2 linked regions of the Oryctolagus cuniculus genome follow. The protein of the gene in region 1 purifies or fractionates together with the protein of each later gene. This does not show direct contact. Links are inferred from orthologs where the notes say so. Each region holds a gene or a part of one and is shown on either strand. Other genes may lie near its edges. The genes, in order: PBXIP1 and SLC27A1.

What was found.
Region 2: the proteins of PBXIP1 (region 1) and SLC27A1 purify together in Homo sapiens (co-immunoprecipitation; 3 studies listed by BioGRID and IntAct, with this or other methods). This does not show direct contact. The link is inferred for Oryctolagus cuniculus from reciprocal best matches to the Homo sapiens genes PBXIP1 and SLC27A1.

The regions. Positions count from the first base shown.
Region 1 is NC_091438.1:43,542,514-43,552,317, reverse strand, and holds the start of PBXIP1 (pre-B-cell leukemia transcription factor-interacting protein 1), read right to left. Parts: upstream 4,591-9,804; 5' UTR 4,133-4,590; coding exon 4,030-4,132; intron 3,611-4,029; coding exon 3,561-3,610; intron 2,976-3,560; coding exon 2,871-2,975; intron 1-2,870. Other genes in the region: SHC1 (SHC-transforming protein 1), read right to left, coding at 6,336-6,464, 7,151-7,389, 7,553-7,687, 7,792-7,861, 7,938-8,136, 8,952-9,078, 9,266-9,317, 9,508-9,561 and 1 more. UniProt on the Homo sapiens protein: Regulator of pre-B-cell leukemia transcription factors (BPXs) function. Inhibits the binding of PBX1-HOX complex to DNA and blocks the transcriptional activity of E2A-PBX1.
Region 2 is NC_091447.1:65,339,826-65,349,629, forward strand, and holds the start of SLC27A1 (long-chain fatty acid transport protein 1), read left to right. Parts: upstream 1-3,337; 5' UTR 3,338-3,470; intron 3,471-4,234; 5' UTR 4,235-4,235; coding exon 4,236-4,402; intron 4,403-8,765; coding exon 8,766-9,160; intron 9,161-9,613; coding exon 9,614-9,775; intron 9,776-9,804. Other genes in the region: TMEM221 (transmembrane protein 221), read right to left, coding at 1-287; NXNL1 (nucleoredoxin-like protein 1), read right to left, coding at 1,319-1,631, 2,276-2,623, 2,745-2,803. UniProt on the Homo sapiens protein: Mediates the import of long-chain fatty acids (LCFA) into the cell by facilitating their transport at the plasma membrane.

The sequences.
Region 1 (9,804 bases):
GGGAGGGGAGAACACTGGCCTCCTCGGCTCAGCCCCTTCTACCGCTTCTACCAGGGTCAGCCAGGGGCCTGAGGCTTTTTCCCACTCCCGCCTCCAGGGGCCCTGTGCCAAATACTTATCCTCACCTCCCAAGCGCCCCTTCCCTCCTGGCTGTGACAGTGGTGCCACCAGCCTTTTTCCACATCAATAGCAAGGAGTCCTGGTCTGGCTTTTCAAGTCATTTTATTAATCCAACCATACAAAAGACCCCCCCACACACAACCACACCTCTGCCACCCCACTTCGAAAAAGCAGTGGAGAGGGCAGATGAAAGACAGCTCTCCCAGGAGCCACTTACAAAACATGTAGGCGTCATGGGTAGCAACAAAGAGGGGCAGACAGAACCACAAACACAATACCAAGCTGAGTGGTAGGGAGGTGCCACCGATGCTGTCTCAGTGCAGAAGGGTGGGGGGTGAGTGCCACAATGCCAGAGCAGCCCGGAGCCCCCTCTTCTTTCTCACAGCCTCAGTCTGCTGGTTCCATCAGGGCAGTGCCAGGGGTGGGGGGCACACACCACAGAGGGCAGGCCTTTGCCACCACACCCTGTGCCTGCCTCCCCCGCCCCTTTGAGGAATGTGTGTACCAGCTGCAAGGAAGAAAGGGCAGCTGTCAGGGGCTCCTGAATAGGCCCAAGTCCCACCTCTGACTGGCAGTGCTCACAAAAAAAAAAAAAAAAAAAAAAAAAAAAAAAAAAAAAAACACCAGTGCAGCGCTGGCTGAGAGGGCCCAAGATGGTAAGAAAGAACAGCAAGGAAAAAGCAGCAAAACAATCCAGGCTCTTCTACCTTTTAGTACCATGGCAGTGAGGATCCCAGGGCCTCCCCCTACCCACAGGGCCATGACAGGGCCTCTCTTGGATCCTTTATCAGGAGGGAAAATGAGGTATAAGGGCTCTGCCTTCTCCAGCCCTCCTCCAATCAAGCCAGGGAGGCAGGGAAGCAAGCGCGGGGCAAAGTTTCAGATCAGCGCTGAGTATAATGTGCAACAGATGGACAAGGTGGGGGGTGGGGCGAGCCACCCGAGTGCAGACTTCAGGACAGCCTAGACGTCTAATGTTCTGGTCGCTCAGACCACGGAACCTCGTTTTTGGCAAAAAATATGGCCATTAGGAGAAAAGCACGAGAGGCTGAGAAAGGCCCAGTGACTTTGGTATCAGGAAAATGTTCCCGACAGCCTCTCCGGCCCACTGTCTCGAAGCCCAAAGAGTCACCAAAGACAGCCACAGCCTGGAGCCCTCCTACTCCATCCAGCTATTTGGTTCTCTGAAGGGGGAGGAGTTGGGTGGGTCTTGGGGTGAGGGGAAGGGAAGGGGAGGGGAGGGGAGGGGAGGGGAGGGGAGGGGAGGGGAGGGGAGGGGAGGGGAGAGGAAGGTGAGGGAGAACTCTCCACGTATTCCTCAAAGCTGTCTCCCAGAGCCCACAAAAAGGCTACTGCAGGGATGGGGCCAGACCTCTCAAACACTCTGACCCCAAAAGCTAAGGCTGGAGCTGCGGGCCTAGAGAGGGGTGTCCAGGGCATCCGTCTCCGCCGGCGGACACCCCGGTCCTTGGGGTCTGCCTCCGTCCACTTCTTTTCTTGCAGCCACGCTCCTAGACTTCCAGATGGCCACCAAAACACACAGCTCTGCTCAGCAGGACTTTGGTTTCCTGGATCTCTGCAAACAGATCTCAACGCACGTGAGTTTCCAGAGACACGCGCCGGCTCTTCCGCCTGCCCACCTCAGTTCCTTTTCTGCTCCCAGGAGCCACTGCTTCTGCTCCACGGGGATGGGAAACCAGCGGAAACAAGGACCAAGAGCCAGACACGAAACAATCACCCTGGAAGAGCAGGGAGGGACGTGTGCACTTCCCCAGACCACCGGGCAGTCACCCATCGTTAGCAGCCACCAGCTGCCCCATGCCCTCGCGGATGTAGACAGACTGGATCTCCTTGGTCTTGAGGCAGAGATCGCAGGCCCAGACGGCAGAGGCCTCAGTGGTCAGCAGCCCGTAGGCGCTCTCAGTCATGCCCGTGCACTCGCGGTGGAACCACTTCTGGCAGGACGCCTCACACAGAATGGCATCTTGGTCGTCGTTCACCTCGCTCCGACAGGCACCACACGGGTATACCAGGCCTGGGGCAGGCTGGGGCCCTGAGCCCCCACCTGCCTTGCCAGGGGGTGCCAGGCTGTTAGCATCTGGAGTACCCCCACCCCGGCCGCTGCTGTTTGGTGGGAAGCTGGGCTGATTCCCGTTGACAGCAGCAGCAGGGGAGCCCGAGTGGGGCTCCTGGGGAAAAGCAGTGGGAGCAGGTGGATTCAAGGGCTTCCCCCCGTCCTCACCACCAGATCCAGGAAAACCAGGGTCCGGGCCAGGGAAGGGACTTGTGTTGGGGGGCAGGCTAGGGAGTCCCTGACCTGGTCTCTGGAGCGGAGAAGGGCCAAAAGGCGCCCCTGGCTGGGCAAAGCGTTGCGGGAGGGAAGGAGGACCCAGCTCCCCTCTGGGAGGCTGTCCCATGGTGGGCGAGATCATGGGGCCAAATCCCCCCACGGGGCCTGGCATCATCTGCCCACCAGGAGGGCTGAAGTTTTGACCCAGAGGCTGGCTGAAGGGTTGGCTGGGAAAGTTCATGTTGCCTGGTGGTGGGTAACCAGGGCCCTGGGGGGGCATGTTGAAAGCAGGGCCCATAGGGTTGGGAGGGAAAGGGGGAGGCTGTCGCCGAAGTGGCTGGGGACCCCCTCCACCTCCAGTGCCGTAGCCTGGGGGTACCTGGCCCGCCATGGCCCCCTGTACGCGGAAGCCTCCAAAGGGCACAGGACTGCCAAGGAACGGAGGGGCTGTGGCCCCCACCTTAGGGGCCCCGAAGTCATCCTCAAAAGGGTTGGATGCAACCAGGTGATCCACCATGGGAGTTGGGGGTGGCGCAAACTCCGTCAGATGTGAGTATGCAGGGCCCTAGGGAGGAACAGATGAGGGAAAGAGGGTCACAGGGGCCTGACACGGAGCCAAACACACGTGGGCAGAACACCACAGACGCCGCAGCGTTCTGGAGGCAGACACCGGCCAGCCAGTGCCAAGACCAAGACGGACCTCAGAATGCAACATAGAAACAGAGGGAGCAGGGCAGAACAGCGCAGTCAGGAACGCCTTTGAAAAACAGGGAGGACCACGCTGAAGTCCCAGCTCTGACCCCAAAGCTCTCCGTGATACAAGGACAGTGCCCAGCTCCCCCAAACCATTCAGGCCCCTCGGCACAACGTCTGGCACTTAGAAAAGGTTCGCTAGGTGGTTACCTGCTACGCTGTCTTGAAGGAGCCAGGACAGGAAAAATGGGGGAAAAAGAAGGCTGCAACCCTGCCCGACCAGCTCTTGGGTAAGGGGCTCTCGTGGGGAAGGATTATCCCCTACGTTTGTTAGGAAGTTGAGGGCGAGGACCAGAAACAGAACCCACCGCCTTCCTTCTCCCTGCACCTGACGCAATACAGAGCGGACAGCGCCAGGGGCTCCTGGCAATCACGCCCACCACCAGCCAACATTCACCTGAGTATTGGACTTCCTGCGTTTCTTTTCTGGGCTCTTCATTTGCAGACCTGGAAGAGCAGCAAAAGGCAGACGAGTTTCTCCAACCTCCTCCTCCCAGCCCTGCTCCAAGAACTCGGTCAACTTCAACACACATTTATTTCGCGAATACTAACAAAGGAGTGTCATATGAAAAACGTGTCCTGAGTGGGGCCCTACTGTCAGCTATGCCTTTCTCGAAAGCAGACACCCTATCTGTTGACACTATCAGACTCCACCTGACTGGATTCCACGTGGCTCCACACCCTTGAAAGTCCTCAATCTGTCACACCTGCCCCCAACCCCGGAGCGCTACACCGACCCATCCTTTTCACCTGAGCGTCCCTTCAAGCCCTCCCCGCTCTCAGCCTTTGGGACCAACCCCACCCTCCCCTCCAAGGTTCCCAAGTCCCAGGTCTCTCCAGCCCCCGCCCCGTCTCAGCACTCTCACCGGCCTTGCCCTGCTTCCTCCCGGTGCTGGGCGGCGCAGGGGGCGGTGCGGGGCCGCCACCTCCCTCCAGCTTGTCCGGTGGGGGCGGCGCCGAGGCGGCCATGGAGTGGGGGCCGGGGATCAGCGGCGGCGGGGGATGGAGGCGCCCTCAGGCTGCACCATCCCCCGGAAGGGGAGTCGGGGCAGCACAGGCCCCCGAGCTGCTGCAGCCCCAAGGTGCGGCGAGGGGGAGGCGCCGAGCTGGAGCACGAACTGCGAGCCCGCTCCAGACTCGCCGCCCGCCCGCGGCAGCAGCAGCGACCGGAACCGGAACTCCGCTCGGCCGCCACCACCGAGCGCGGCGGGGAGGGGAAGCAAGGACTGGGAGACTCGGCGCCTCAAAACGCAGGAAGAGGGGAGAGAGGACCACGGGGCGGCCCTAGTGGAGACAGCCGTCGCCCTCTAGGGAGCGGCCGGCCCCAGCTCACCGCGGGACGCCGCCCGCCAGCCCCTGCGACCGGACCGTACCATTGCGGGCCGAGGGGCGCGTGCCCAGGAGGCACCGGCAGCCGCCGGCTGGCCTCGGACCCTGCCCCGCCCCGCCCCGCCTGCACCAGGCCCCTCCGCAGCCGCATCCCCCGGGGACAATCGGTCTCCACGCCCACCGGGCACTAAGTCGGCCGGCGCCCAGGGCCCAGCGGGCGGCGCCGGGCCCCAAGTGAGGCCAGGTGGGGCCAGCGGCGACCTGGAGCCTCCCCTCCTGCCGCGGAGGCTCCGCGCGAACAATGGGCTTGCAAGAGTGGCTAAGAAGGCGAAGTAGAAGAAATACGGATTTTAATGAAGATTATTTCCCTTTGGTATAAGTGAGACCCGTGAAAACATCCAAACACACGAAAGGAGGTGGTGGCTAGGATTAAAATTGTCAGCTTTCCCTTCCCCACAGGCCTAAAGAGCAGGACTGGCCTCTTCTGTGGTTGTGGCTGCAGTGGGCCTAGCACAGGGCCCCGCGTGTAGAAGGTACTGGGGGACCTGTGGGCTTTAAGTTCCCCCTTCGTGAAATCGACACAGCCAGCCAAACGCCTGCCTCCCAGCCTGCGGTAAGAGGTCCAAGTTCTAGTCCTGGCTCAAAATCCGTTTCTGCCTCTGGTCTCTTTTGTAAAAATAATAATAATGCTGCCAGTCCGAGTTCCTTTGCAGGCCCGGTGAGGAAAATGCCAATAGTGGTGAGAGGGCTTGGAAAAGTCAAAGAGGTGATGTGTGGATGTAGTTGATCATCATCATTTTGTGTTCAAGAACAAGCCATGGAGAACAAAATTAGGAAAGTAAACCTACAGCCATAAAATATGTGCATACAAAGTAAAAATGAGCGCGGTTCCAAATCGACAGATGGTATTTGGGATTGTCTAATGCTTTCGAGTCTCAGTGCCCTTGTTCCCGCCTCCACAGAACCCTCCTGGGAGAGTGAACTGTACAGGAGGCTCCAGTTCACACCCTGGGAAGGGAGAGGCAGAGCCGGGATACAGGAGGAAGAGCTACACTTTGGCTGTAGAGTATAACATGCATGCAACATGGGAGGGGCGGGGCGTATGAAATGTATATACAGACCCCTTGGGGAGAGGGGTCCCGGCCAGGAGGCACTGAGCAAGGGAGGGGGTCCATCTCCCCCCTGGCCGGGAGGGGGGCTCTGGGGCAATCTCTAAGGGTTGCACCTCCCCAGGGAGAGGGGACAGCTGCCACTACTGCTTCTGTTCTCCCAACCCAAACTGGAGAGGCTGCTGAGCAAGGAGGACAGGGTCCTGGGAGCCAAGACGGCGTCAGCACCCCTGTCCTTAACTCAGGGGCCCGAAAACTTCTTTGCATTAAATATCGTCAGACCTAGGAGATGGTCAAAGGCACAAAGTTAAACGCTGGGGGGAAGGCTGAGAGTGGTCTGTGACTCCCTGAAGCCCAGGGGTAGACCCGAGGTGTGATTTGTTCCCCTTTCCCCAGAAGGGTGACTGCTCCACTGGGCCTATCACCAGGGGACGTTTCCATCTCGAGTGCCCACCTTCCTGGGGAAGGGGGCATCAGGTTGGCACAGGTATGGGGGGGCCACTCTGTACATTAATACTTTGGTGAGGTTTGGGGAGAAGCAGGATTCTACCCCAGGCTCCTGACTCAAACCCTCTCCCTCAGCTGAATGCAAAACCCAGTGTCCACCCTCCTCCCAGCTCTGACCCAAGGCCAAGCCCACAGAACACTCGTTGAGTGAAGTCCTGAGAGCAGGGAACAGGGTGGAAGGGGAGGCAGGGGCGTCTTCTGTGAGAGCTCGGGGACGCGGGGACGGATCACAGTTTCCGCTCCACAGGTTGCTGGAGACACAGTTCGCTGCCCGCAGAGATGATGGGCAAGTGATTGTCCATGTGGTAGCTGATGAGGTGGCTGACACTCTCAAAGCGGTGATCCTTTGTCCGAACCTGGGAAAGTGAGAAGGAAGGGGGGTCAATTCAGGTGAGGAGCCAAGACCTCGGCGGCCCTTAAGTCTTGAAGAAAATGAAACAGTCGAGAAGGCTGAGCAAAGAGAAAAAGACGGGGGTGGGGCTGGGGGTGGGGGGTGATGGCTGGTTGAGGCTTCCCTGGAAAGAGAAGCTGGAGACAGCTGTGAGAGTGGGCAGGTGAAGGAACTACAGAAAGGCAAGGGGACCTCAGTCCAGAAAGCATGAAGCCTTTCTTGATTTGGACAGGGTTGGCGTATCTCACTGTGCAAAAAAAAAAAAAAAAAAAAAAAAGTGGGAAGGAGGCTGAAATTGTACAGAAGAGAAATGGAAGTTTTGAGGAGCAGTGAGACACTGAGTGTTAAGAGAAAGGACACTGGTCTGGGGACCTGGGGAGGCCCCCGGCTCCTCCTGCACGTGTGTGGCTCCTCACCACTGGCTATCACAACCTCTCCCCGGGGGTTTCCTCATCTGTCAAAGGAGGGACACAGAATAGACGAGCACCGTCTGGCTCTGAGGGGCTTAAGGTTTGGGGATTGGAGTACCGGCCAGGGCTGTAATGAACACAGCTCAGGCACAGCGCTGAGGGCGCTGGAGGGCGGGGCCGACAGCTGCGACTGCACCAGAGGGTACTTCCGACCACCCACGTCCACACCTCTGTCACTCACCACACCCTCGGGGTCCACCAGGAGCAGGTGCTTGGGCTGCCCGCTCTGCAGGCCGGTGAGCACGTACTGGCCAGGTGTGGTCGTGCTCTCCCGCACCAGGAAGTCCCCGTTGAGCTGCAGCAGCGCCTCAGCCTCCCGCCGGCTCAGCTTCCCATGGAACCAGGGCTCCCTTTGGAGCTGCTCAGCCATGGACACCGACTGGGGAGGTGCAGGTACCCGAAGCGCATCTTCAAAGGGCTCTGGGGGGTTACAGAGAGAGCAAGGAGCAGCAGCTGGCACAACACACTCCCGGGACGGAGACCTTCAGGGAAGGGAGGCCAGGAATGAAAGAGCAGAAAGGCAGAAGAGACGGAACCAGGTGGGAAGGCGGGGACGAAGCAGAAAGGAGAGAGGAGTACTCACTCATGTCAAAGAGGTCCCGGGGTGCGCTGCCATTGGCGGTCGCGTTGGGGGGCCCAGCCCCTCCCCCTGCCTGCCGGGCCTTGTCTAGGTTTTGGACGTTGACGTAGGAGGGATCATCAAAGAGCTCTCTGCCTGCTGCGGAAAAGGATGCTCCGTGGTGCTCCTGGCCCTGCCTGCTGCACCCCCGGCTCTTCCCTCCTCAGCTCACTCGCTCCCTCTCTCTCTGCCTCCCTTCATACCCGGGCAAGGTGGTTGAGGTGGCATCTGTTTGCGGACTTCCGGGTCTCCTCCCACAGGCTGCCCTACGGGCTGCAGGGATAAAGGAAGGTGAGACCAGCAGTCCTAACCAGCCTGGGCCCAGCCCACCTCCATCCTAGCAACTTACCAGGGTAGCTCCCAAGTGGCTGGGGGTCTGCGCACTGGGTGGAGCAGGTCGAACAGTCCCTGGGGCAGCTCCTTCCCGGAGCCTCATGTCCACCACGCCCCCCAAAGGGGGTTCCTTCCCCGGGAAGTCATTATAGTACTGATGGTCGGGTAGCTCTTCCTCCTCCTCATCCCAAGCTGATCCATCAAAGCCGGCCATTCTGGGAGGGACAGGAAGGCACAGGAGTGTGAGTACGCAGGAGAGCCGGGCAGGGCGAGGGGAACCCCACAGCACATCACACACACAGCGAGCCTTCAGTCCGCAGGCCTGAGGCTGGGTGTTTCCCAGGTACAGTCATTTCACCCTCCTGGTTTCCCTCCCTAGTTTTATAGAGGAGGAAAATTAAGGTGAGAGGTGAAAAGATTTATCCAAGATCTCCCAACTAAAAGGTGCTATAGGCAAGATTTAAACTCAGCTTTGACTTTACAGCTCATGCCCTTGACCACCAGGCTATTTCCTGAGAGGAAGGGGAAGCACGAAATAGTGGGGAGGGCATGTGCCGGAGGACTTGAACTTCCAAATACACCATCCCTACTGGCCCACTGCTCATTCCTTAAAGCCTACAGTGGGAAAGGAAGGGGTCTCAGGACAAACAGCCTTCCTCCAAGATCCACGAGCCTGGTGGCTTCTAGAAATAGGAAAACACAGAAAATGAAAGAGAAATAGGCAAGAAAGAGGGCGAGGCTAGTAATGAGGTGGCGGCTGGGAAGAGAAAAGCTCATTCAGCCAGAGAAAGAAATGCAGTTTGGAGGCCCTGAAATACAGCCCCACCACAGGCAAGCGAGAGGAAGAGCTGGCCCTGCAGCAGGCGGCCTAATGGCCACCGGAAACCCAAGAATCGCAGGAAGTAGGAAGCAGGGCACACAGGTTATTTCTTTCCCTGAACCTCCCCGAGCTCTGGCGTGGGAAGAGTAGACCTGCATTCCCAATCTGGGTCTGGGGCCCAACAGCTGGCCCACACCCCACCGTGCTCACCTGTCATGGGGGGTGACCAGCTTGGGTGGGTTCCTGAGGTATTGTTTGAAGCGTAACTCGAAGGCCTGGCCAATGGTGCTGATGACATCCTGGGCAAGCCCTTCGGGACACTCCAGGATGTGGCAGGCTGCAGGTACAGCGAAGGCTGCCGGTGAGCTCTGAGGCGGGGTCTCGGGCGGGGGTGTGGGGGACTGATCCTCCTCAGCAGAAGCCCCTCCTCATCTCTGCTCGGTGAGAGGGGAAGGGCGGCCCTGGTCCCCCTCACCTGCCGCACCGCCATCCCGCCCCACCCAGTGCGCCCCACCATGCCTCACCTCTCTGATTCACGGGGTCTTTGGCAACGTAGGCAACATACTCGGCTGTGTCCTAAGACAGACAGAGTGAGAAGGGGCAGGTTAGCTAAATTCTACAGCTCCACCTTACTCCTGATGCCTAAACCCAGTCTTTTTCAAATACCTCTGCAACCCTACCTCCCCCACTGCCCTGGCTGATGGCTTCCCAATCCTTAGCCCCTTCCCCTCCCCCCCCCCAACCTGTGCTCTGTTCCCCAACTCACCGGATCTCCGCCGGACGCAAATGAGATAGACTGCATGTGGTGGTTGGCAATGATCTGAGAATTGGCACGGGGGATGGAAAAGGAAAAGAATGGCATGTGTCAGCCCCCACCCCTGGCCCAGAACCCTGCCGTCCCAGCCTCATTCTCTTAGCTTCTCACCCTAACTTCTTCCTACCTTCTGGCTACTCCAAAGCCCTCCACCTTAGTTTTTGGCCTCACAACTACATCTGCCCCTAGCCCTACCTCCCATGTCTCTGGTACCCCCTACCTAACCCCACCAACCTGTTTACAGTCTGC
Region 2 (9,804 bases), on another chromosome or scaffold:
CGGGCCAGCTCGGCGCCCAGGTGCCCGCAGAGCGCGGCCAGCAGCAGGCAGGCGAGGCCGAGCGCCAGGCCCAGCGCGGCCAGCGCCCCGGCCAGCGGCAGCAGCGCGCCCGCCGCGTCCTCGGGCAGCCCGCGGCCGGCGGCCGCCTCGGGGTCCGGCCCCCGCAGCTCGGCGCGCCCCGCCTGCAGCTGGAACAGCAGCTGCGCGCCCAGCGCCGCCAGCACGGCGGCCGGGATGCCCAGCAGGGTCATCGCGGCCAGCACCCGGCCGCCGTACGACCGGGCCATGGCCAGGGATGCCGTCCAGGGGTCCCGGGGTGGGGGGAGATGGGGGCGTCGGCGGGACCCCCAGAGGGCGAGGCTGCGGGGAGTTCTGCGGGCCCTGGGCGGGGTCGAGGGCTGCCGCGGGGTGGGGTAGCGGGTCCAGGGGTCGGGGGTCCGGGGAGCCGGCCTGAGCTCCCTGAAGCCTGGGGGAAGTCCGGTTTCTCCGGTGCCCGCGTAACAGCTCCGGTCGTCGGGGCTGGAGGGGGCGTGGCCCTAGCGGGGGCGTGGTCTTTGGAGGGGCGGTGTGAAGTCTGGGAGGGGCGTGGCCCTGGGGGAGGCGTGCTCTCCAGCCGGGCGGGAGTGAGGTCTGGGAGGGGCGTGACCTTCAGAGGGGCGGGGTTAAGCCTGGGCAGGGGCATGGCCGTTGGCGGGCGTGGTCTTTGGAGGGGCGTGGTTAATTCTGGGAGGGGCATGGCCGGGGCGGAGGCCTGATCTCAGCCAGGCAGAGGTGAGGTCTGGGAGGGGCGTGGCCTTCAGATGGGCGGGGTGAATCCTGGGAGGGGCGTGGCCCGGGCAGGGACATAATCTTCGGAAGGGTGTGTTGAAGCCTGGGTGGAGGCGTGGCCTTTCGCGGGCAGGGTGTGGCCTTGGGCGGGAGGGGCGGAGCCTGGAGTTTGGCCCCAGGACCCCCAGACCTCGCTAAACCTGTGTGGCTCTGAGCACCTGATGTTGACGAAGGGGAACAGAAGCTGAAGGAAACCGAATTTATTAGTAAACGATGTGTTGACTACTTCGAGGGACAGAGGCCCACGCGCGGATGCACCCCGCCCGCAGCTGGGGCCGAGCTACGGGGAAGCCGGGGTCCCCCCCCCCCGGGAACGGCTGGGCCGGGGCGGGGCTCGAACCCAGGGTGCGGGTCTCCGCGCGGGTGCCGCCCGCCTGCTCGCCGGCCGGCGTTGAAATACCACCCGCACGGCCACAGCAGGGACCCGTGGTCGCCGGGGAGCCGGGGCCTCCGCCGTTGCCCACCCCCCACGCCCCCACCCCTGGCGCTTTCAGTCCAGCCCCCAGGCCGCGCCCCCCGCGCCCCCCGCGCCCGCCGCGCCCTCCGCGCCCCGCCGCGGCCGCTCCACGCGGTACTTGCAGCGGCGCAGGGGCTCGGTGAGGCTCCGCGGCGCGGGGTCGTCCAGGTCCTCGGGCGGCAGGAAGCTGCGGTCCAGCACCTCGGACGCCTCCTGCCAGTTGGCGAAGCAGGCGGGGCCCAGGCGCTGGATCTCGGCGGCCGCGTCCCGCGTGAGCACGTCCCCACCCGGCTTCAGCACCACGACGGCCGGCAGGCGCTCCACGCAGAACTGGCGCCCCAGCTCCCTGTGGGGCGGGCGCGGCTCAGTGCAGGCCCCGGGGCGGAGTGCCCGCAGCCCGCTCCCTGCACCTTGCCGAGCGCCTGCTGTGTGCACTGCAGGTCCTGTTCTGGGACACCCAGGGCGGGCTCTCGCCACAGGGCCCTTGCACCTGCTCTGCACGGACAGCTGTGCTCAGGAGCCGGCGTGGGGCCCAGCGGTTCCGTGGGGGCATCCCGCGTGGTGAGAGGCCCGGCTCCCCGACAACGCAGACTGCAGGAGGCAGCAATGGCGGCCCAAGTGCTGGGGACCCTGCCACCCATGGGGGAGACCCGGATGGAGCTCCAGCCTCTGTGCTTAGGCTAGGGGGGGCGGCCAAAGTAGGGCGGGGCCACAACGGCCGGAGCTGAGCTGATCCAAAGCCAGGAGCCAGGAGCTCCATCCAGGTCTCCCACGCGGGTTCGGGGGCCCAACGACTTGGGCCATCTCCCACTGCTTTCCCAGACCACAGCAGGGAGCTGGACTGGAAGTGGAGCAGCCGGGACTCGAACCAGGGTCCCTATGGGATGCCGGCACCGCAGGCCACCGCTTCGGCCCTGATAAATATATCTTTTTAAAGATGATTCCTCTCCCAGGAGAGGGCCCCTCCTCCAGGCAGCCCGCCGGGCTCACCTCCGCCAGGCGTCCTCGAAGGGCAGGAAGAGCCACTTCTCGGGCATGTCCCTGAGGAACTGGCCCTGCTGCTCCTCCGTGCGGTCCTGGGACACGTACACCAGCGCCAGCTGCGCCGCCCGCAGCACGTAGAACTCGTCGGTGAGCCGCACGAAGAAGTCCTTGAGCACGGGCGCGAAGGCCTGGCAGCGCGGGCAGGCGGCCGCGCCGAAGAACAGCAGCAGCAGCCGGTTGTCCAGCCGGCGGCTGAGCTCCGCGTCCGTCTCCAGCTCGTCCTGCTCACTGTTGTTCCGGATCAGGACGCGGCCGGAGAACAGGGCGGCCATGGCCGGCTCCGGGTGTCCGGGGCTGGGGAAGCGGGGCCTTTAGGACGGCGGCTTAAGGTCCGCGCTAATCAGCCTAAGGCTGCAGGGCAGCCAAGGTCAAGGCGGGGAGAGGGCAGTGCGGGGGGGGGGGGGCGCTGCGCTACCTGCAGCGCCAGCTTCCCATAGGGGCGCGAGTTCGAGTCCCGGCTGCTCCACTTCCCATCCAGCTCTCCACTGTGGCCTAGGAAAGCAGTAGAAGATGGCCGAGTCCTTGGGCCCCTGCACCTGCGTGGGAGACCCGGATGGAGCTCCTGGCTCCTGGTCTTAGATTGGCCCAGCTCTGACCGTTGTGGCCATCTGGGGAGTGAACCAGTGGATGGAAGACCTCGCTCTCTCTCTCTCTTTCAAATCAATCAATAAATCTTTTTTTTTTTTTTTTAAAGGGTAACATCTCCAGCATCAGTCGCTCAGGTTTGAGTGAACAAATGAACCTCAGCTCCGTCCCGCACCTTGCCCTGTATAGCGCGCTGGTTGCGGCCGGGTGGCCTCTCTGCCCGGCCCGGCCGGCCCGGCGGATCCCGGCCAGCGGCCGGCAGGTGCCCGCCCTCGGGGTCTCCCTCCCCGCCCGCCGCCCCAGCAGGCCTGGGCCCGGGCCCGGGAGGGCGGGCGCTGAGCGCTGGCCGGGCCCTGGGCTCCGAGTGGCGCTGGAAGCCGGCCCTGGTCGCCGCCCAGCACAGCGCCGAGGTCGGCCAAGCAGGGCAGGAGACGAGCCAGCGGGCGGGCGGGACCGGGCGCGGCGCGGTGAGAGGGGTCCACAGAAACGCACGCCCCCGGAGACTCGCAGGAGCTCCAGGAGCCCCGGACAGGGCTGCGCCTGCGGGCAGCTGCAGGTCAGCCGGGCCTGGGCTCTGGGGCCGGGGCCGGGGGCTCCGGGCAGGTGCCGGTCAGCGGGGTGGGGGCCCGGCCGGTCCTGGGCTCTGGGGGCGGGGCCGGGGGCTCCGGGCAGGTGCATCTAGGACGCGCGGATCCCACGTCTGAGCCTGCGCAGGCCGCGCTCTGGCGCTTTCTGGGGCCCTGAGGGCTCGCGCTTCGGACTCCCCGCGGCCCCTCCGGGCGCACGCCCTGAACCGCAGGGCGGCGACCGGCTTAACCAGGCTCTAGAGGTGACCCGGGCCCTCCCGGCCCCCGGGCCGCGGCTCGCGGACGCCACCCGGAGCTCGGCCCGCCGCCCCTGGAGCCACGCCCCCGTCGGAGGAGGGCGGGGCGGGTAGGCGTTGCTATGGGGACAACGCCGGTCTCACAGCCCCGCCCGGCGGGCCGCTCTAGGCCGCGCGTCTCGTTGGCGTCGGCTCTCTGGCCCGCGGTTTCTCTATGGGCGCTGGAGCCAGACAGCGGGGAAGAGGGCGAAACAACCAGGCCGCACCCGGGCGCGAGGCTGCAGGGGGCCCGGCTCGGGGGCGGGGTCTAGCTCGGCGTGGGCGGAGTCTGGCTCCGGGAGGGCGGGGTCCCCGATGAGTGGCAGCTGCTGAGAGGTAGAGGCGGGGTCTAGCTCGGCGTGGGCGGGGCCGGCCCTGGGGGCGGAGCTCGGCCGCGGCCGGGCGGAGGTGGGCGGGGCCGGGGCCGCGTCCGCGACCCGAGCTCCTGCGCTTCCCAGGATGCGGGCCCCGGGTGCGGGCGCGGCCTCCGTGGCCTCCTGGGCGCTGCTCTGGCTGCTGGGGCTGCCGTGGACCTGGAGCGCGGCGGCGGCCCTCGGCGTCTACGTGGGCGGCGGCGGCTGGCGCTTCCTCCGGATCGTGTGCAAGACCGCGCGGCGCGACCTTTTGTGAGTGGGGCCCGGGCGGGGGCGGGGTCAGTGGGCGGGGCGGGGCCTGCACGGGTCCGGGCTGGGGGTCGGAGATCTGCACGGGGGCTCGGGGCTCGGAGGCCGAATGCGGGGGTGCCTGAGGTCGGGGGCGGGGTCTGCACGGGCATGGGGGGGCCCTGAGGAGAGGCCGCAGGGGACACCTTGGGGGCTCCTGGAGGGCGAGGGGGAGGTTCCAAGGTGATTGGGGGCCCAGGAGTTGCTTGGGAGACGAGGAGACTGAGAGGGGCCTCCCGGGGTCCCGGGTGGCGTTGACAGGCGTTGACATCACACCGAACCCCCGGGCTGGGGGACTCTCCGTAGGGGCCGTGGTGACTGAGGGGGGCCCAGTGATCTCTGGGCTCGTGGAGGGGCTGGTAGGGGTTGAGGACTTAAGGGTCTTTATCCAGGGTTTCTATCCCTACCGGGCCATTTGCCGGATTTTCAGTGGCCGGGCCGCTTTGTGAGGGTTTGGGGTTTGTCGGGGCCTGGGTGGGGGGCGCCACTCTGAGTTTGCAGCGATCCCGGGCCCCAGGCGTGGCTCAGGGGGGCGGCTTAGACGGCCTGGGGGGTGAAGGTGGAGTTGCTGGGGGCAGAGCTGAGGAACAGGGGCGCCCCTGGCTTGTCCCCGGCTCCTGGGAGGGGGGAGTGCGCCCATTTCAAGGGTGAGGAGACCAAGGCCACGCTGGCCAGCGGGTCTCAGCGCCTCCGCCGCTGCGGAGCAATTCACGGCTGTGAGCAACACCTGTGCCCATTTCACAGATGCGCAAACGGAGGCGCAGTGTGGCCGCGTCGCTTCTCCCAGGACACACAGAGGGAGGCTCTGAACATAGCCACATCTGTGGTCTGTGGTCAGCCTTCGTGTGGACCTGCCCCCCACTCCGCGCAGGGCCTCAGGGCTTGGGGACCTGTCTGTCCCGTGGAAGGCAGCGAGAGAGAGAGAGAGAGAGAGAGAGAGAGAGAGAGAGAGAGAGAGAGAGAGAAGGTCTTCCATCCACTGGTTCACTCCCCAATTGGCTGCAACGGCCGGAGGTGCGCCAGGAGCTCCATCCGAGTCTCCACGCAGGTGCAGGACCCCAGTACAGAGCCAGCGCCGGCCGCCTCCCAGGATGCGCATGCGCAGGGAGCTGGGCCGGAAGCAGAGCGGGGGACTCCAACCTGCTGCACCAACCACGTGCCCCTGCCCCCTCCCCGGTGTGGGCCCCGAGGCTGCGACCTGATCGGTGTTTGTGGCTCCCAGCCGGGACTGGGGGGGCCTCTGAGGGATTCGCACCGCTTCCCTGGGGAGGGCGGCTAACGGGGCCCCACTTTGCAGGTGGGTAAACCGAGGCCCGAGTGGGAGGGGCCACGGTGTTTGCGCTCTGGTGGGCGCCGTCTGAGCGCCGGAGGAGGGGCCGCGTTTGGACCCCAGGTTCGGGAAAGATTCGAGCGCCGGCCCAGTTCTCCTAACCCGCCCTGCCCCGCCTGGCCCAGAGTCCGTGCTCGGTGACCGCTTCCTGCCCCGCAGTCGGGAGGGGAGGGTCGAGGAGGGGCCCCGGGAAGGGCGCGGAGCCACACACTAGGCTCTTTGTGTGCAGGCCGGGGGTGGCCTGGGCCGCGGCCAGCGGGGGCCGCCCGGGCATGCAGCCGGGGCACAGCGGCGGGTGCAGGGCCTGCCCCGGGGGCTGCTCTGGGGGCGAGAGCAGGAGGGGGGGCGAGGGTGTGGGGGACGAGGGCAGGACCGGGGTGGGCGAGGGTGTGGGGGACGAGGGCAGGACCCGGGCAGAGGGTGTCCCGGGGGGCCAGGGTGTCCCGGGAACCACTCCCCCCACTCCTGTCCCCTGTTCTGGACGCTGACACCCACCCGGGCTTCCTCCGGCCTGTCGCCCCCACCACCGCCCTCGCCGCCACCCTCTCGGGCCCCCTCCCGCGGTCCCTGGGGCCCCTGGGCTGAGTTTGCTCACAGGGATGAGTGGGGTACACAGTAGGCGCTCAGACGCGAGGAGCCGATCGCCCTCGGCCGGCCTGGCCCTGCTGGCTTTGGCACTTGGTTAGGGTCCGAGGCTCCATTCCTTCATCCGAGCAGCGCTCCCCGGTGGCGGTGCATGCATTGAGTGCCTGCTGTGTGCGCCGCTGGCTGGCGTCTGGGTGAGGGGCGGCTCCCGCGCGGTTGCTCCTCGAGTTCCTTCCCCTCGCCGAGTCCCGCGTCCTCCGCTGACCGATAGGGGGCGCAAGGCACGGTATTCAGCAAGTGCTCAATAATTGCTGATCACGCTCACCTTGCCACTGCTTATTCCTCAGATGGATGAGCAGGATTTTTATTTTTTGAGATTGATTTATTTACTTGAAAGGCAGAGTTACAGAGAGGTCAGAGGCAGAGAGAGAGGGGGAGAGAGAGAGAGAGAGAGAGAGAGAGAGAGAGAGAAAGGTCTTCCATCCACTGGTTCACTCCCCAGATGGACGCAACGGCAGGAGCTGGGCCAATCCGAAGCCAGGAGCCAGGAGCTCCATCCGGGTCTCCCACGTGGGGGCGGGGACCCAAGCACTTGGGCCATCTTCCGCTGCTTTCCCAGGCCACAGCAGAGAGCTGGGTCAGAAGTGGAGCAGCCGGGACTCGAACCGGCGCCCCTATGCGATGCCGCGGCGACTTTACCCGCTGGGCCGCAGCACCTGAGCTTCCTAAGCACCAGGGTGAAGGCCGGCTGCCTGATTTACGTTTTCTGGAAAGTTCTCCCTCTGGGGGTGCGCAGGCGCCCATGAGCCGCAGGGCACGCACCCGCCGGGCCCCTTCCTTCCTGTTCCCCCATTGCTGGCTCTGGTGCCTCTGCAGAGCGGGGTGGCCCCCCGACCCCGCCCACCGCTGGAGGCCCCGCCCTCTCCACAGAGCAGGCTGGGGGGCGGGGCCAGGACTTCCTCTCCCCGCACCCCTGGTGGGTGGGGCCCTGGTCTGCCGCCGCCACCCCCAGGTTCCCGGCGTCACAGCCACGCGTCCCTGCCCTCCGGGGACAGGCGAGGAGACGGAGCACCAGTCGATTGCACCTGCGGTGGGGAGGCAGGAGGGGGCCAAGGCCTGCGGGGGGGGGGGGGTCGTGCCGATGCTGCAGAGCCCGTGCAAAGGCCCTGGGGTGGGAGCATGGCAGAAACATCAGGGTGGGTGTGGCTGGAGAGATGAGCGGGGAGGAGGAGGGGGAGGGTCTCGCTCTCGCTCCAGCGCTGCGGGGTCTCAGGGAGGCCAGGGACGCCCGGCTCGGGCCCCTTGGCAGACGCAGAGCGTGGGGACCCCGGCCCTGTCCCTGTGTGCAGGGGCTTCCCACGAGAGGCCGAAGAGAGACAGGGGCCCGCGTCCCACGTCACAGCGCCTGCCTCCAGCTCCCTGCGCACGCGCACCCTGGGAGCCGCGGTGAGGGCTCAAGGCTCTGGGCCCCCGCCGCCCACGGGGGAGACCCGGATGGAGCTCCCGCCGCCCCCCAACACCCTGTCTCCCCGGCTGAGCCCCGCGGGCCCTCCACCTCCCCTCCCCGCACCTGATTCCTGCCACACAAGGCGCGTCCCTCCCAGGCCGGAGCCCAGAGCCCCAGGCCCCAGAGTGCAATGGCCGCTTGCATGAATGAATGAAGGGATGAATGAATGAAGTTATGAATGGAGTGGCTGAGTGATGAATGATGCATGAATGAAGGTTTTTTCCCTTCGCCGGGACCGCAGGGTGCTGAGGCCAGGGCTGGGCAGGCCACAGGCGGGGGCTGCGGGAGCCGTGGGGGCGGCGTGGGTCAGGGCGGCGCCCGCTGCTGGTCAAAGACAAGCCCAGGGCGGGGCCGGGCTGAAGCCGGGGGGCCGGGGGCTCCATCCGGGTCTCCCGCGGGGGTGCAGGGGCCTGAGCACCTGGGCCGTCCCTTGCCGCTTCCCAGGCGCATGCGCAGCTGGCATCGCGGGCGGTGGCTCAGCTCCCCGCCCATCTGGCACGGGCCTGGCCCGGCCCCCACCCCCACAGCTGCTGCAGGCATTTGGGGGGTGGTCCCGCAGCCGGGAGCCCTGTCTGTCTCTGCCTCTTCATCACCGCGGTCAGAATCGCGGGTGGGAGGCTGAGGGGGCAGAGGGTGTGTGCTGGGCGCTGGGATGCCCCATGGTGCGGAGGGTCCTGCAGAGGGCCGAGCCCGCCGGGACACACGGGGCTGCTGGGGGTCGCAGCCCTGGAACCCGCTGGCTGATTGGCCCCTGCTCTGCCTCCCCCCGGCAACCCAAGGGTTAACCATCAATCTGGCAGCGACCCCCTGGCTGCCCTGGGACTCCCCCCATAGGGAAGCTGGAGCTCTGGGGGTCCCGGGATGGCCAGGGCGCCCCTGACCCGCCCCCTCTGCGTCCCTCGCAGTGGCCTCTCCGTGCTGATCCGCGTGCGCCTGGAGCTGCGACGCCACCAGCGCGCCGGCCACACGGTGCCGCTCATCTTCCAGGCCGTGGCGCGGCGGCAGCCCGAGCGCCTGGCGCTGGTGGACGCGGGCAGCGGCGCGCGCTGGACCTTCGAGCAGCTGGACGCCTACTCCAACGCCGTGGGCCACCTCTTCCGCCAGTTCGGCTTCGGCCCGGGCGACGTGGTGGCGCTCTTCGCGGAGGGCCGGCCCGAGTTCGTGGGGCTGTGGCTGGGCCTGGCCAAGGCGGGCGTGGTGGCTGCGTTGCTGAACGTGAACCTCCGGCGTGAGCCGCTGGCCTTCTGCCTGGGCACCTCGGGCGCCAAGGCCCTGGTCTACGGCGGGGAGCTGGCGGCGGGTGAGGCTGGGCCCGGGGCGGCAGTGGGGGGCCGAGGCGGGGAGTACTGGCTGCGCAGTAACCCGCTGGGGGCGTGGCCCGCTGGGGGCGTGGCCCACTGTAGTACGCGGGGCGTGGCCAGCTGGGGTGTGGCCTGCTATAGTATGCTGGGGGTGTGGCCCACAGTAGTATGCAGGGGTGTGGCTTGCTATAGTATGCTGGGGTGTGGCCCACTGTAGTAGGCTAGGGTGTGTGGCCTGCTGGGGGCATGGCCTAGTATAGTAGCTGTGGGTGTGGCCCACTGTAGAATGTGGGGTGTGGCCTAGTATGGTATGCTGGGGGTGTGGCCCTGGGGGTGTGGCTCTGAGATGTGAGGCCTTTGGCTGCCCTGGGCGGGGAGGCCGTGCGGGGGTGGGGCCGGGGGCTGCGGGGACCCCTCCCTGGCCGTGACCGGCCTTTCCCGCGGAGCCGCAGCCGTGGCAGAGGTGAGCCCGCAGCTGGGCAAGAGCCTCGTGAAGTTCTGCTTGGGAGCCACGGGGCCCGACGCTGTGCCGCCGGACACGCAGCTCCTGGACCACCTGCTGTCCGAGGCCTCCACCGCCCCGCTGCCACCCGCCCCCAGCGCGGGCATGGACGGTGAGTCCGGGCCAGCCCCACCCCACCCC